Linked DNA regions of Astyanax mexicanus. The protein of the gene in region 1 purifies or fractionates together with the protein of each later gene. This does not show direct contact. Links are inferred from orthologs where the notes say so. Each region holds a gene or a part of one and is shown on either strand. Other genes may lie near its edges.

Region 1 (7,645 bases):
TATAGCCAATCAAATCCTAATCAAACTCGTAAGATGTCAAAAGATATGGGACACCATTCTAGTTCCTGTTCAGTGATGTTTGGCGAGTCAGTGTAAGTTATAAATATAAACACACCCATAAGGCATTAGGAGAACATCCAGCATGAACTCCAGCAGCTGGTGGACAGTCTTGGGTTTCTCGGTGAGGACGAACGGCGATGCTTTAGACGGTTCAGTGGGATATTTCATGTGGTACAGAGTGGGAATCAGCAGATGCATCAAACTGAAAATAAAAAAAGATATAACGATTTAAGAGTAGTATATAGATTATAACCCACACAGGTAATAAAGGTAAATGTGAACAAGGACTCACCTGTCCTGCTGGGGTTCAGGTTTGCTCTCCATGGCTGTGAGTAACGTCGGAGCCAGCTCACACTGTTTGGCAACGTCCAGCCGAGGGTAGCCCATCTTTATGTAGATAATGGTGAAATTCTGCAGGAAACACAAACGTGCTGCTGAACACAACTAAAACGTACAGGTCTATCTAAAAAAAAATTATATCATTGAAAAGTTACTTTATTCCAGTAATTTAGAAAAACTCATTTATTATACAGATGTATTACTTGATCTATTTTAAGCATTTTTTCTTTTATTGTTGATTGGTGATTATGGATTACAGCCAATGAAAACTCTAAAACACTGATTTTTGGGTTTTCATTGGCTGTAATTCACACCAGCAGATTACAGATCTCTCCAATCACTGCCAAACGTACCAATGGTCTTATATAAAATGTTTATTTTCTGAAATACTGATTTTTTTTGGGGGGGTTTTCATTGGCTGTAAGCCACAATCAACAACAATAAAAGAAAGAAACGCTTAAAATAGATCACTCTGTGTGTAATACATCTATATAACATATGAGTTTCACATTTTAAATGGAATTACTGACTGAAAGTAACTTTTCAATAATATTCAATTTGCACCTGTAACTGCAGTGCAGAAAATTACATGACATTTACATTAAAAGCATTGTGATATTATTTTAGACCATAGTGTTTACTGGTTAATAGGACATTATAAATCAGAGCTCATCACTAAGGTTCTGTTACGTACTGTGACGAACGACGCTGCCGCCGGGTCCTGGTACTGAACGAGTAGAGTCTCAACCGGAAGCTGGATCTTCGGCCGACTCTTAATCCTCTTATTCACGTGAACCAGCAGCTCCATTACCTGCACAGAGGGGGAACACCACGCTTACTATACTACAGTACTACAGTACACACGGAGCAGATCACCACTTCACTGAGCATGAGAGCATTTCAAGTGCAAGAGAGAAAGCATCCTGAGGGTACTCACTTTTTTGCGGACTCCCTCCTGAGCGCTGGACAGTTTGAGCAGGACGGGCGGCAGGAACTTGGATATGATGTCCTGCAGCTGATCGTCCGTCTCGGCATGACCCAAACGCAGGAACACCCGCTCCAGCTGATCTGAGAGAGAAACGATCATTTACTGTTATTATTTATTATTATATATATTTAATACACTCTTAATTGTTTTATTTCTCATCTGTATAATTAATATATAACACTTCTATCGAAGATCTATTTTTTATTTCGATAAGATATGACTATATTTATTCCTTATATTATTACTATTATATACTCTTTTTTAAGATATATATACATATATGTAGGTACACATGCAAGTTTGTTAATTTATGTATGACTGTAATATGAATATCCCCCTTTAAAGTACACTGAACTGAGACAGAGAGAAAGTAGAACAAACTGAGATAGAGAAAGCAGAGAGCGAAAGCAGAGAGTGAAAGCGTATGGACAAAGAGAAAGTAAAAGATGACATGTAGAATGACAGTAGAAGAGCGAGTGATAGATTGAAAGATACTTTATTGATCCCAGAGGAAATTTAGGAAGACAGTGAGCAAAGGAGAGAGGCAGGTTAACTGAAAAGAGAATGAGAGAGTAAAAGAGGAGTGGAGGGGAACGGGGTGAAAGGGAGAAACGAGAGAGAATAATGTAACATATAATAGAGGCAAGGATAAAGAAGGAGAGTGAGACAGAATGAGGGACACAGACAGACATAGAGACACAGACAGAGACACAGAGAGAAAGACATACAGAGAGATATACAGAAAAAGACATACAGATAGAGAGAGACTGAGTCAGACAGAGAGAGAGAGAGAGACAGACAGACAGACAGAGAGAACTAGAGAAAGAGACAGATAGACAGAGACTGAGACAGACAGAGCCATAGAGAAAGAGACAGACAGACAGATAGATACACAAAGCAATAGAAAGAGACAGAGAGAAATAGAGAAAAAGACAGGCAGGCAGAGAAATAGATATATAATAATATTATTTTATTATTGTTTAGCTACTGTATTTTCATATCTTATACAGACATGTTGTTTAACCTGTGCAACTGATAAACTAGAACTTTACCACACTTTATTAAGTGCTTTATACGGAACCCCAGAAGCACAGCCGGGCCTGCAGCGCTGTGTGTAACCGGGGGAGAGAGCTCACAGCCCGGGGAGCTGACCCGCAGCAGCCCGGGAACCTAGCCGGTTATCTGATTAGCCTGATTAGCTCAAGCGGCTAACTCCCTCATCCAGCAGCCGGGCTGAGGGAGCCACAGCCCCAGTACAGCCAGCAGCGGCTCCCCCACTCCACCCAGCACCTCCACCCCACACTAAACTACACTAAATAACACTAAACAACAGACTACAACCCCGCACCGAGAGACCCGCGGGTTTAATCCCGCTTTAAATGGTTTTAAACTCGGCCTCAGCATGACTCTGCAGCCCGGCTAGCTTACCGGCTAACCGCTACTGACACAGCTAATCGGCTAACTCCTATACAACCTGCGCACATACATCACGCAAACACACTCATTATTATAAATATACACATTTATAAATACGTATATAACCAGCCGTCCGCGAGTAAACACGTCCAATATCACAATAACTTTCTCACACCGCAGTTTATACAGTTTAAACAGGTTAATTAACCCAGAACTTACTGAGCTCGTCCTGCGCAGCCATACTGCAGTCACATCAGTTAGGTTAGCTTAGCTTAGCCCTGTGCTGAGGAACTGCAGCTGCTGCAGGGGGCGTGTCTATACATATACACACACTAAACACACTGTGCACAAGACAATATACACACTATACACAATACACTAAACACACACTGTACACTATACACTCTATACACACACTATACACTTTATGCACTGTACACACACTATACACACTTTATACACTAAATACACTATACACATACTACACACTTTATGCTCTATACACTATAGTTTCTCTGATTTTGCTATTTATAGCTATATGATTGAGTAAATTGAACATTGTTGTTTTATTTTATAAACTACGGACAACATTTCTTCAATTAAACTCCAAACTAAAATTCCAAATAAACGTAATGTCATTTCTTTGCAGAAAATGAGAAATGGCTCCAAAAAAAGTTAATATTACTAAAGTTTTAAAAAGTTTGGAAATCAATATTTGGTGGATTAAACTTGGTTTTTAATCACTGTTTTCATGCATCTTGGCATCATGTTCTCCTCCACCAGTCCACACACTGCTTTTGGATAACTTACTCCTGGTGCAAAAATTCAAGCAGTTCAGTTTGGTTTGATGGCTTGTTATCATCTATCGTCCTCTTGATTATATTCCAGAGTTTTTTTTAATTTAGTAAAATCAAAGAAACTCGTCATTTTTAAGTAGTTTCTTATTTTTTTCCAGAGCTGTGTATATATAAAACTGCATATTTATTTTTAATAATTGTCGCAGACTTTTATTCTGAAAAAATAATGTCAGAGAGCGTGTAGAGAGAAGAAAACTCACTACACAACGTGTTTTAGTTTTTATGGACAGCTAGATGGCGCTCCAGACTGAGTCAAAAATTAATGGGTTCGTATGAAGCTCACCATCCAATCACCTCACAGTGGCAGTAGTGCAATAAAATAAAAAATACAACACAATACAATATTCTGATTTTTTTGTTAAAATTCTCTTCTCTAGAATTAAAGGAATACCCTGTATTAATAATTAGTTGCTATTTATAATTAGAGTTTTTAGCTATTTAGCTCCATTCACCCTCATATATGAGTCATTTACTGCCATAACAGGGGGAACAGAAAGTGTGCAGTCTTCTATAAAACAGCTCTGGCTTTATACATGTTTCGGTAAAATTAAACTGTTTAAGATGTAAAAATAAATAGGAAATTACAACATTATATTATATTATATTTAAGTGACTGAAGACACGTACTGTTAATATTCAGCAATTAATAATATTGCTATCACATTGTCTTCATATTTAAAGCTAACCATCCAGTCGCAGTATTTTATATTATAATATAATATATTATATATATTAAAATATAATAAAACAAACGTGTAGAACATCAATCATGACCAATTCAGCATCTCTGCAGCTCTCTTTTAGTTACTTTATTTCCTGTTTTTATTTTTATTTGAATTACTATTTATTTTTCCTATTTTTATATCTTATTGTTGTATTTGCGTTTGTTATTTTTATTAATATTCTAATTTTTTTTTTGCATTTAAGATCGTCCACTTATATTTTTGTTTTGTTAATGAAGTTCTTTATTTTAGCTTAACCTTATTAAATGAACTATGTAAAGTGATTAAAGTGATTTAAGCTGTAATTTTTTTTTATTTAAAATTATTTAAAATTCAAAATATACACATATGATAAACAGTCAGAATGATTAAACTATTATTATAATATTAAAATATATTGAAATATTAAATTATGAGGAGACATAAAAGGCTAAAGATTATGATCTATGAACTGTTAGAATTGAATAATTCGGATTATTGGACCGGTTTTGTGTGTGAACGTAACCTCGGGTACCGCCTACAACTCCGCCCGTTGCTCCGCCCACTACAGAGACCCCGCCCACATCCAGCGGGAAGAGAGCAGAGGAAAACATCCTGATCCGCTTCAGCCCGAACCGGCCGAATCCCCGAACCGCGGACCCGAACCGGATTAGGGATGAACGCGTGATTGGACCGGAACCGGCGGAAGGTAGGGTTTGCGGTTTAACGCGGTAATGACGTAACGGTGTTTACAACGCGCGCTGCGGGGAACGCGGTTCTGATCAGATCCAGAACCTGTAAATTGGACTGAACCGTATTAATCTGGGCTTTAATCCGGAGTTTTACTGAACTGGACTAACCTTGACCGGTCCAGTAAGCCTGGGTTAGTCTAATGGACTCCATCCCTGCTGAAGAATACCAGCTTCACCAGCTCAGAGTGGTTAAACTGGTGAAGCTGGGTGACCAGTTTAGCTTGTGACCAGGTCAGGGAATGTTTTGGTCTCAGTGAGACCAGCGAGACCAAACCAGTGTTCCCAACATCAACCAGCTATAACTTACACTCTGCTCTACAGCAGCTGGATAACCAGTTATCTCACCAGAATAAGGAGTGTTTAACTCTACATGACCAGTTTAGACCACTACCCTGACCATCTAAAACCAGATTATACCATCTAAAATCATGCTAGACCACCTAAAACCAGTCTAGACCATCTAGAATCAGTATTGACCACCTAAATCAGTTTAGACCACCTTCAAATAAGTCTAGACCGTCTAAAATCTGCTTACACCATCTAAAACCAGACAATCTAATATAATCTTAGACAGTTTAAAATCATCTTATACCATCTAAAACCAATATAGACCACCTAAATCAGTATAGACAACCTAAATCAGTTTAGACCAATGTAAATCAGTTTAGATGGCCATCATAGGCAAAATGAGTGAGTAAATGTGTATTATATGTTCTATTTTGGTACTTTAGGAGACACAGACTGTGTTGTTGTGTAAACTGTGTGAGTGTGTTTCTGTGTTTCTGACACATTTTAATAATCAACACCGTGCAAATTAGCGACTAATCGTTGCAGCTCAAACTTTATATATATATATATTTGTATAACAGACATGTGAATAAGGTGAATAAACATTAAATGAGAAGTCTAGGATTGTACACCTAACTCTGTGCTTGCTCGATTCGATCAATTCTTGAAGAAACACAGTATTGATTTTTAATGATTAGTTTAGATGTGAAGATTGGTGTCAGAAGTGGATTATTTAGTGTTGTGTTTAAGCTCTGCCCACTTGATAGTAGTGTAAACTTTATTTAGTTTAGATTGCATAAATAGGATATAGTAATCAGAAGAAGCACTATTCCCGTAATTTCCTGTCTTTCTTTCGTAGGCGCGTTAGCGCGGTGGAGATGGAGGTGGGCAGCCTGCCAGTGGAGCTGTGGCGCCTCATCCTGGCGTACCTGCCGCTGGCAGACCTGGGCCGCTGCTGCCTGGTGTGCCGGGCGTGGCGGGAGCTGGTGCTGAGTCTGGACAGTACACGGTGGAGGCAGCTCTGCCTGCGTTGCCCCGAGTGCCGCCATCCCAATTGGCCGCGGCGGCCGCAGCTGGCGCCACCCTCCTGGCGGGAGGTTCTGAGGCAGCACGCTCTGGCCAGTCGGACCTGGACCCTGAACGGCTCCGAGCTGCACTCGTCCGCCTGCCTGCACCTGTTCCGCCGCAGGAAGGACCGGAGGGTGTGGCGGGTGGAGACGGAGGCCGGCTGCGGCGCCGTGACGCTGAGGGGGGCGCTGGCGGCCGCCGGGCCATACGACAGGATCCACCTGTACCCGGGGGTGTACGAGGAGCAGGCAGAGGTCACGCTGAAGGTACCGGTGGAGATCGTGGGGAAGGGGAAGCTGGGCGAGGTGGTGCTGATGATCAGCTTCGATCAGCAGTGCCCGACTGCCAGGCTGTGTAACGTGGTGTTCATGCCAGCCTGGTTCTCTCCGGTGGCTTATAAGGTAAGAAAGTTCACAGCTGATCAACATGTGTTTTAAACTGGGAAAGAACATGAAAACAAGTATTAATTTTATTTTTTTCCAAATACATTGCTTTTAGTCGATGCTCTCTACAGGATTACAATGGTTTACAATGCTGCTGATAGGGGCATAGTGTTACTCATGCCAAAAAACTAGTTTGGTGTATTTATAATGAACTACCTGTGCACTTTCGAAGTTCTCAGTACCTTGATTAAATGTTAGGGCCCTTAAAATTCTACCAATGAAGTGTGAAAATACTTTTAGTTTGTTAATGGTGTAAAAATAGCCATTTCTATGCATGGGTAACTCTATGCCCCTATTACTTGCATTGTAAGCCTGTTCAGACCATCAACTAAAAGACTTGTATTTTGGAATGCTTGGGTTGAACAGAGGTGGGCTATTCCACAAAAGTTCATACTGGTTATCATGTTTGACTACAACCCAAGTACATTTCACACTGGAGTTCTCCTTTAAACAGAGAAATCTGAGATTATAGAGCATAGAATTAGCAAAAACATGACAAATAGCTAAATGGCAGCTATGCTAATAGCACGAGGACACTGAGCACATTCTAGTGATTTTTCCCAAAAATTGTATTTTAAAAATAAGCAAATATAATCTAAGAATTAATTTAGGTAACAGGACTGAGTGTTGAGACTGAGCTCCTCAGTCAGAGTTACAATAAGATCAAATATACAGAAAAACTAATGAGCTTGGAAACTTAGTTTTGGTCTTCCCATGATCTTCAGAAGTACCA
Region 2 (7,699 bases), on another chromosome or scaffold:
AGTCAAAAGGGGGTTTGATTTGCCTTTCTAGCAATGCTACCACCAATTCCCTCTACAAGTTCACTTGGTTCCACTTGACCTTCACCGTTCTTAACAGTCATTTTTTAATTGCATTATAAACTATTAACTATTTAAAAGACTTCATCTGCTTTGTGGGAATCAATTATTTGATTTATTAATCAGAATAAAATTTGCTATAAATAAATCTGAACAAGCCTTAGCTTGTTAAGGTCTATCCAACAAATCAAAAAGGATGTTTCATGTTACATATTATGCCTTTTGCAGATCAGTCTATTCATGTACACTAATTATTCACCCCAACAAATTTGGACATAAGGGGGATCAACTTTGGCAGGGTGCTACTTTTAGAGTTAGTAAAGCAATTGTTTGGCAGTGTTTTGCCCAGGTCATCTGCTCACCTCATGATGGTGAGTGTGGTCATGTCCAGAGCCACTCTGGTTCCAGGCTTTAGCTTGGTTTTGTCCAGCTGTAACAGATGAAGTGTGTTAGGAAAAAAAAAGGTAAGCATGCAGTCGTCATGTAGTTCAAATCGCCCTTCTGTTAAATAGCAACCGCAAGCTTAACTAAACAGGAAGGACTTAAGTGTGAAGAGAAAACCACAAAAAGTTACGAAGATTTTACGTGTGCACTAATTAGACAAATAGAATAGAAAAATAGTATTTTTTTTTGCACAACTTTGTCAGTAGTACTTTAAAGCAATGCATATGTATGTAGGATAATAATCTCAGGACATTATCAGTAAACAAATGCTTGTAATTTTGTCTTTCCAAGGCTATTACAGCATTGTAGCTCAATCAGTAAAAGCTAAGAAATTATGAGAAACTTTGTTTCTCCAGATAAACTCTAGTTTTCAAGTTTAAAATGCTGCAGGAGTCAAATTTATTCATGACCCCAAAACAAAGGACCTGATATAAGCACTGTGGAGGTCTCACCCTGTGCAACAGTTCTTTAATAGTAAATGTTTACTACAATATGGTGCCTCTTACCTGTCTCCGGCAGCCAACCACATATCGAGGTCCATTGGTAGCTTTTACAATAACTGCAAAGACAAATACAATCTGATTAACTTTCTGAAAATGGTAAGACAAAATTAATCAACATACTGAGTAAATTAAAAACACTTACACTTTTCCTCAGTCAGCTGTTTTAATACCTCCCCAACAATCTAAAAAGAACGAAATACACAAATATTTCGATAATATTAGTATACTGTATGCAGTTTTTATTGGATATATCATTAATTTTTAAGGTAGCCAAGTTTAAAAAGATTTGCTCCTCCTATTAGATTAAGAAATACAAGTATTGTACAATTGATAGAAGTTTATATACTGTAAATACTAAGGGTCCTGTAAGTGCTTTGCATACACTTACAATTGTAAAAACAGAACAAAAAATAAGATATACTGCAAACAATTAAAACCATTGAGGTTTGTAAATGCTATGTAATCAATAACAGTCCTCCAAGTGTGGAAATTAAAATTAATGTAGCGATTATAAAGGGAAAATCCAGTGTGAAATAGACTTGGGGTGTAGTAAAAAATAATGAGTACGAACTTTTGTGAACTAGCCCACAGCTATCCGGAATACAGCACTTTAAGCTGATGTTCCAAAAAGGCTTAAAATGCTAGTGATGGGGGCATAACATTACCCATGCAAAGAAATTACAAATTTTACATAATCAACAGTGTTTTTAATCAACTACCTGTGTGCTGGCAAAGCTCTCAGTGCCAGCACCTTCAGAATTATACCAGTGAAGTGTTAAGCTATTCTGAGCTTGATACTTGTGTAAGAACAGAGATTTTAAGCCTGCTGGGAGCATCAGCTGAAAGCACTGTATTTCGGAAAGCTGGAGGTTAACAGAAGTGGCCTATGCTACATGTTTAACTGCAGCACAAATCCACTTCACACTGGAAATCTTTTTAAAGTAATTTACCTAAATAAGAGGCTGTGCATATTGTGAAGTCAAAAACATAGCTACAGTAGGTTACACACCTATAGTGGTTTAAATAATGTGAACATTCTGTAAATAATAAAAAAAAATAAAGATGGAAGTTATGGATAATGTAAATAACTCATTTGTCATCCTACCTGACCAACACTCTGCAGAGCCTTCAGGTCATTCTCAGACTTCTCATACTGCTTGGTGAGCTCCTTCAGCTGCTCCCTCACTAAAACATAAAACAATGTTTACAGTAAAGATATTTCAGTCACACGTTTGTCCTGGAAAAACAATTTACACTAGCTAGTCTAAAGTCTCTATCTGTGTAGTGTTGCGTTAGCCGGTAACAGTTAACTACCTCGGTCGGCTAAGCTAGAAAGCTAAGCTAGTAGCTAACCAAACTAACATTAGAAAGAACACCAAAGAAAACGGGTAGATTGTGTTGAATCCCAATTTGATCTAGGTTTTTATAATAATCAGAGAACAGTATTACACCCTTAAGCCATTTAAAACCGAGTTTATTGGTTGTTTGTTTGTTAGCTAGGTTAGCCAGCTAGCTAGTAAAACTGTTCTAGTTCACTAGCTTTTTTTTCCCCACCCGTATTCCGATAAATCCCATCCCTCGCACCCTGCGATTGGTAAACTGTGTGTGATTTGGACCTACTAGCCAATCATAGCTCAGGACGTAGTTTCTAATTAGCCAATCCCGAAGGCGAAAGGGGCGGGACTTGTCGAAATACGGGTGTTCAGCTAGGCTAACGCTAACGCCGCATACTCCTGCATGACAAAGCGACTTGAGCCTGACTGCCGATTCAAACTAACAGAAGCCGAAATGAGCCAGAAGAGACGATTAAAGATTAAACTCAGGAACAAAAACCTCAGATAGATCACTCACACTCCTTCAGACGCCCATCGATCTCTTTATGCTCCAGTAATTTCTTCCTATAGTCCTGTAGTCCCTTCTCCCTGCTGTCAGCCATGATCCCCCTGCGATACTACTGCTGCTGCTGCTGTACTAGCTTTAGCCAGCTAGCTAGTGATGTGTCGCACGGGAATGAGTCGATTCTTTGAATCGGTTCTTTCAGGTAAACCTTTGAGAGCTGTTCTAATCAATTAATTAAAGGGTTGAAAAAAAGATTCGTATTAATAAGTTTGTGGTGTTAATTCATTAGTTTGCAACACTGTATTCTTCAGTTAACAGACTTCTCAATATTGTTTGTGTTCTCTCACTGCAGTGTCTCTGCTATTGTAAAGCAAAAAAATATATAATAATAATAATAATAATAATAATAATATCATATAATAATAATATCATATATTTATATTTATATATTTATTGTATATACACAGACCAGCTGTGCTGTTGAATTGTTTTACGGAACCTCTGAAAGGATATAAGGATATACAAAGGATTTTACATGGATGGAAAAAAAATATTGCAAAAATGTAAAATAATGCTCTGACTCGAATGTTTTTTTGTAGGAGTTCTTGGGATAAAAAAAACTCAGCTGCTTTACCCGCTCTGGCCTTTAGATGGCACCAACACGCCATTCATTTTCATCTTCTTAACCTTAGTATTAAAGGCAAAGCGCTCGCTGTTAGACCAGAGTGCAATTTAACCATTGTTTTAAAACAGTGCAGAGGAAGAACTGCACTGATAAATCAGAGCTATTCTTTCTTATTTAAGAACAGCTACGGTTTCACAGATCAAGGTGAATGCATTGGGTGTTTATGCCACTCCAAACACCAGATGAATAAATGCTTATCCATGTAGTTCTCCAGAAAGCCGTGTCAGAACATATATATATCTTCCTCTGAAACAGTCTGTTCCTCTTTAAAACATGGTTCATAACTTTGCAGGCACAACATTTAAGCTGGACTTAATATCTATTGAGGTTAGTGGTCAGCTAGGATAAGTGGGTTTTCGAATATGATGATTAGTGTATTGGTTTTATCTAAAGGCCAGAGTTGGTAATTCCCTGATTTCCTCCCTCATAATTGTCTTAAAATATAATTAGTTTGAGGGAAAAAAAACTTAGGTGTGACCCTCCCACCCCCTAAAGATCTTGAGTCACGTCATTGAACAAGTAGGATTTTTTTCGGGAGCTCCATGGGTTTTGCTTTGTCCCTCATGATGAAACACCTAATGACTGCAGCTACCTTACTGAACCTGCTCCTTTAATTCCACATAAACACATTTATTTTATATTCATGTCAACATATATTCATGCGTTATATTTGTTGTTAAAATATTATGTTTAGCCACATACTTTATTTGTGTTTATTTTTTGTTTATAAAAGACAAACTTCCATTTATATAAAAATAGTATAACTTTTTACTTTTATTTTTTAGCAGCCTCTATGGGAGTGCTGCTTATCTCACAACTGATTGGCTCCCCCTTTTTTAAGTGCCTGACGTCAGTTACCGTGTCATTTTTAAACTTTCCTGTTAACACTTTTCAATTCTTTTGCATTGTTCCTGTTTCACACTGTAAGCTCTGTGGAATCCTGCTGTTCTAGTCCACACAGTGGGCTGTTGTTTCTCTCTGTCTGCTGGACAAACAGCTTTGAACACAGTTCTGCTCTTTACAGTTTCTAAACATTTGTGTTTGAGACGAGAACTGTGTGTGTACAGCTCATTGAGTCTGCATTGCCTTTCATGTTGTTGTTACATAAAATGACTAATTAATGAGCCTGTAATTCAGAGGATCCAGAAACATACAGTGGGGAAATGGATGCTTGACTCAATAAAATTAACCTAAACTGATTATAACTAAACTGATCCCAGCCTAACAGAGTAAATGTACATGACTGCAAAATTATAACATTTTAGGCCATAAGAGTTTTCTATAACTCTTGTGTTTTTCTTATATACACATTGTTCTTTCCCCACAAGTTATATTAATATGTATATTAGTCATTTTAAATAGGACACTGTAAATTAGGCAATTGATTATGTCAGGAAACATGAACTGACTTGACTTAAACTGACTCTGAAATGAACCATCTGAAAACAATAGAACTCAATGAGCTGATCTAGTAAACTACTGAAATTGAACTAAACTAAAATAAACTGAACTTTCTATGATTACTTGACTGGATTAGGTTTTACTAACAGAAGTAATTGAACCCCTAAATAAACCAAACTGATTGTTAATATGTAAATGTTTTTTTTTAACTGCCAGCACAGCTATGCATATGTATGTTCCATTGAAGTCACATTTGTATGAATCAGATTCGAATGAAGTCGAGTTTTAGAAAGTGGAAGTGTTTCAGATATTCTACAAGTAACTCATTCCTACTAGAGAAAATAACAATATCCAGATTTACCACCCTGGATTAGCCTTTCCTGTATGATCCAGTCTGACCAGTTCTATTTAATTCTAATGTAAACCCACATGTTATTTCACTACTTATTGGGTTTTAGGCTGTATTTGCTGATGATGATAATAGCATTGTATCCACAGAATGACTAATCCACTGCAGTAATTTATTTAACTGTATTCTGCTGTATCCCCCTGTGTGATGTGTGCCTGGGCAGGTCCAAGCTCTTAGAAAATCACTAAAGGGATTTTTCCCATTTATTACTTACCGCACTCTTCCTCAGCTGTGTCATTTCCTCAGAGAACACCATCTGCCTTCACTTTTTGGTAATGTCTGGAACTGATGTCCTGCTAATGTTTTCCAATTATGGGTCTAGAGTGACAAACACTAAAGAACACTATCTGGACAAGACATGATTTGAAATTAAAATAAAAAAACATACAAATGGAAATTAATATTTTTTTAAACTAAAAAATTAATTAATTCATTCATTCATTGATTAATATGATATGACTTTTGAGGTTCAACAAAAACCTTCAAGAATCTAGTCTTAATATTTCTGGCATTAGTCAAAGCTGTTATTGGCTTAATGCTGTAGTTCTAAAGTCATATTTTTATATAAAAATATTAAATAAAAATATGCACAGAGACTGATTCATTTTCATTGAAAAGTCTTTCAATCAAATACATTTAAATGCTTTGTGTCTTGTTTGTTCTTGAAAAATATAATCAAAACATAAACAATATCAATTATAAAATGCGAAAAAAGGGTTACAATTGTGCCTCTCAAAAACAGACTGTGAACATCATAAAAAACTTTATGCCTCAGCCCTTATCAACACACCGAGCCGCAATATGATCATTCAGAAGCAGGTAGCCTTTTACATATGGTTCTATGTTCATCATCTTCTACAGAGAAACTGTAGAAAGCATGTTGAGGACCTGCATTACCGTCTGGTTTGGGAACTACAACATAACAGATTGCAAGACCCTACAGCGGATAGTGAGGACAGCTGAGAAAATCATCATCAGAGTCTCTCTCCCCTCCATCACTGAGATCTACACCACACGCTGCATCCGCAAAGCCACCAGCGTTGTGGACGATCCAATCACAGCTGGATCTGCACAGCTTCTTCCACCAGGCAGTCAGACACCTCAACTCACAGAGCCCCCACTACCAGACTCTGCAACAGCTTATTTTACTCTACACACACACACTCAGCACACAGTAACTCGCTTTACCCCAGTAACTGCTGTGATCATGTATGTTCTATATATAGCAGTATTTTACATATCTCTACACCTTATCCTCACTGGAATTTTCATTATACTGTATCGGTACTGCACCGTCCTGTCTGTTAAACTGTCTCGTCTGTCTGTACCTTTTTACACATTTAGGGCTAGACAGGGATTAAGACTAGTCCTGACAAAAGAAAATTTAGTCCAGGAACAAGCTTAATACCTGTCTGGGAAACCATGCTTTAATTTAGTTAAAACAGTAGAAGTAATAATTGCGCAAACTTAACCACACTCTGAAGATCCCCTGTACTAGAACAAAATAAAATGTGACAATTCATGTGACCATATGACACCTAGAACAGGGAAGTGAGGAAACCAGAGATGCAGGAATACTAACACTAAAACACATTTACAATCGCAAAACTGTTCTGCAGCTACAACTGACAGACACTTTATCATTATTCTTTATTTAAACCATGATCACAGCATTTTTATCAAAGTTCACTATCGTTATACTTTATAGGTGTTTCTTTAATGAATAAACAAATATTAATAGTTTCAACAATTGCTGATTAAAGATATGTAGCTTTCCAACAAAAAAATGTGTGTGTGTGTGTGTGTGTGTTTAGCTGCAATGCCTTAATGTTTCTAAAGAAGTCTTGCATAATCTTTCATTTTTAGAACAGGTTATCACCAGCAGGAACATTAATAAAAACACCTTCAACACACACATACCTTCATCCACTTATGCATGAGAGACAAAACTCCTCCCAGTCTGTCCTGGATTGCTTTGGATTTTGGTCAATTCCTCATGAATTCCTTTCCTGAACAAAGAATATGCAGAAATCCAGTCATTTTATATCTTAACAATCAGATATCAAGAAGAATTACAATATATATTTTAATGTTTGCATATCTATATTAAATTATTTAATTCACCTTTAAATAGAACATAATACCTATATGTTTTTTTTTTTTGTTACCAAAACATCAATAATGAGGCCTTGTGGGACCTAGAGCAAGTGTGTAGAGATAATTTTGAAGGGGTAAAAACCTGCAGTATTGAGCTGTTTAGCTTCATCCATACTTTTGGAATGGGTGAGTTGGGGAGCTGGGGATCAGGTAGAGTGGTGATCATCCAACATCCTGAACTCACTAATGCTTATCAAAGAAAGC

The links. Proteins that work in one complex are often made in the same cells at the same time.
Region 2: the proteins of ecpas (region 1) and psmc6 purify together in Homo sapiens (affinity purification with western blotting; 3 studies listed by BioGRID and IntAct, with this or other methods). This does not show direct contact. The link is inferred for Astyanax mexicanus from reciprocal best matches to the Homo sapiens genes ECPAS and PSMC6.

What each region holds. Positions count from the first base shown.
Region 1 is NC_064432.1:23,872,010-23,879,654, forward strand, and holds the start of ecpas (proteasome adapter and scaffold protein ECM29), read right to left. Parts: upstream 3,109-7,645; 5' UTR 3,045-3,108; coding exon 3,023-3,044; intron 1,468-3,022; coding exon 1,337-1,467; intron 1,211-1,336; coding exon 1,094-1,210; intron 472-1,093; coding exon 353-471; intron 263-352; coding exon 116-262; intron 1-115. Other genes in the region: fbxo10 (F-box only protein 10), read left to right, coding at 6,280-6,870. UniProt on the Homo sapiens protein: Adapter/scaffolding protein that binds to the 26S proteasome, motor proteins and other compartment specific proteins. May couple the proteasome to different compartments including endosome, endoplasmic reticulum and centrosome.
Region 2 is NC_064408.1:87,378,843-87,386,541, reverse strand, and holds the start of psmc6 (26S proteasome regulatory subunit 10B), read right to left. Parts: upstream 3,003-7,699; 5' UTR 2,941-3,002; coding exon 2,856-2,940; intron 2,190-2,855; coding exon 2,110-2,189; intron 1,187-2,109; coding exon 1,147-1,186; intron 1,061-1,146; coding exon 1,008-1,060; intron 488-1,007; coding exon 420-487; intron 1-419. UniProt on the Homo sapiens protein: Component of the 26S proteasome, a multiprotein complex involved in the ATP-dependent degradation of ubiquitinated proteins.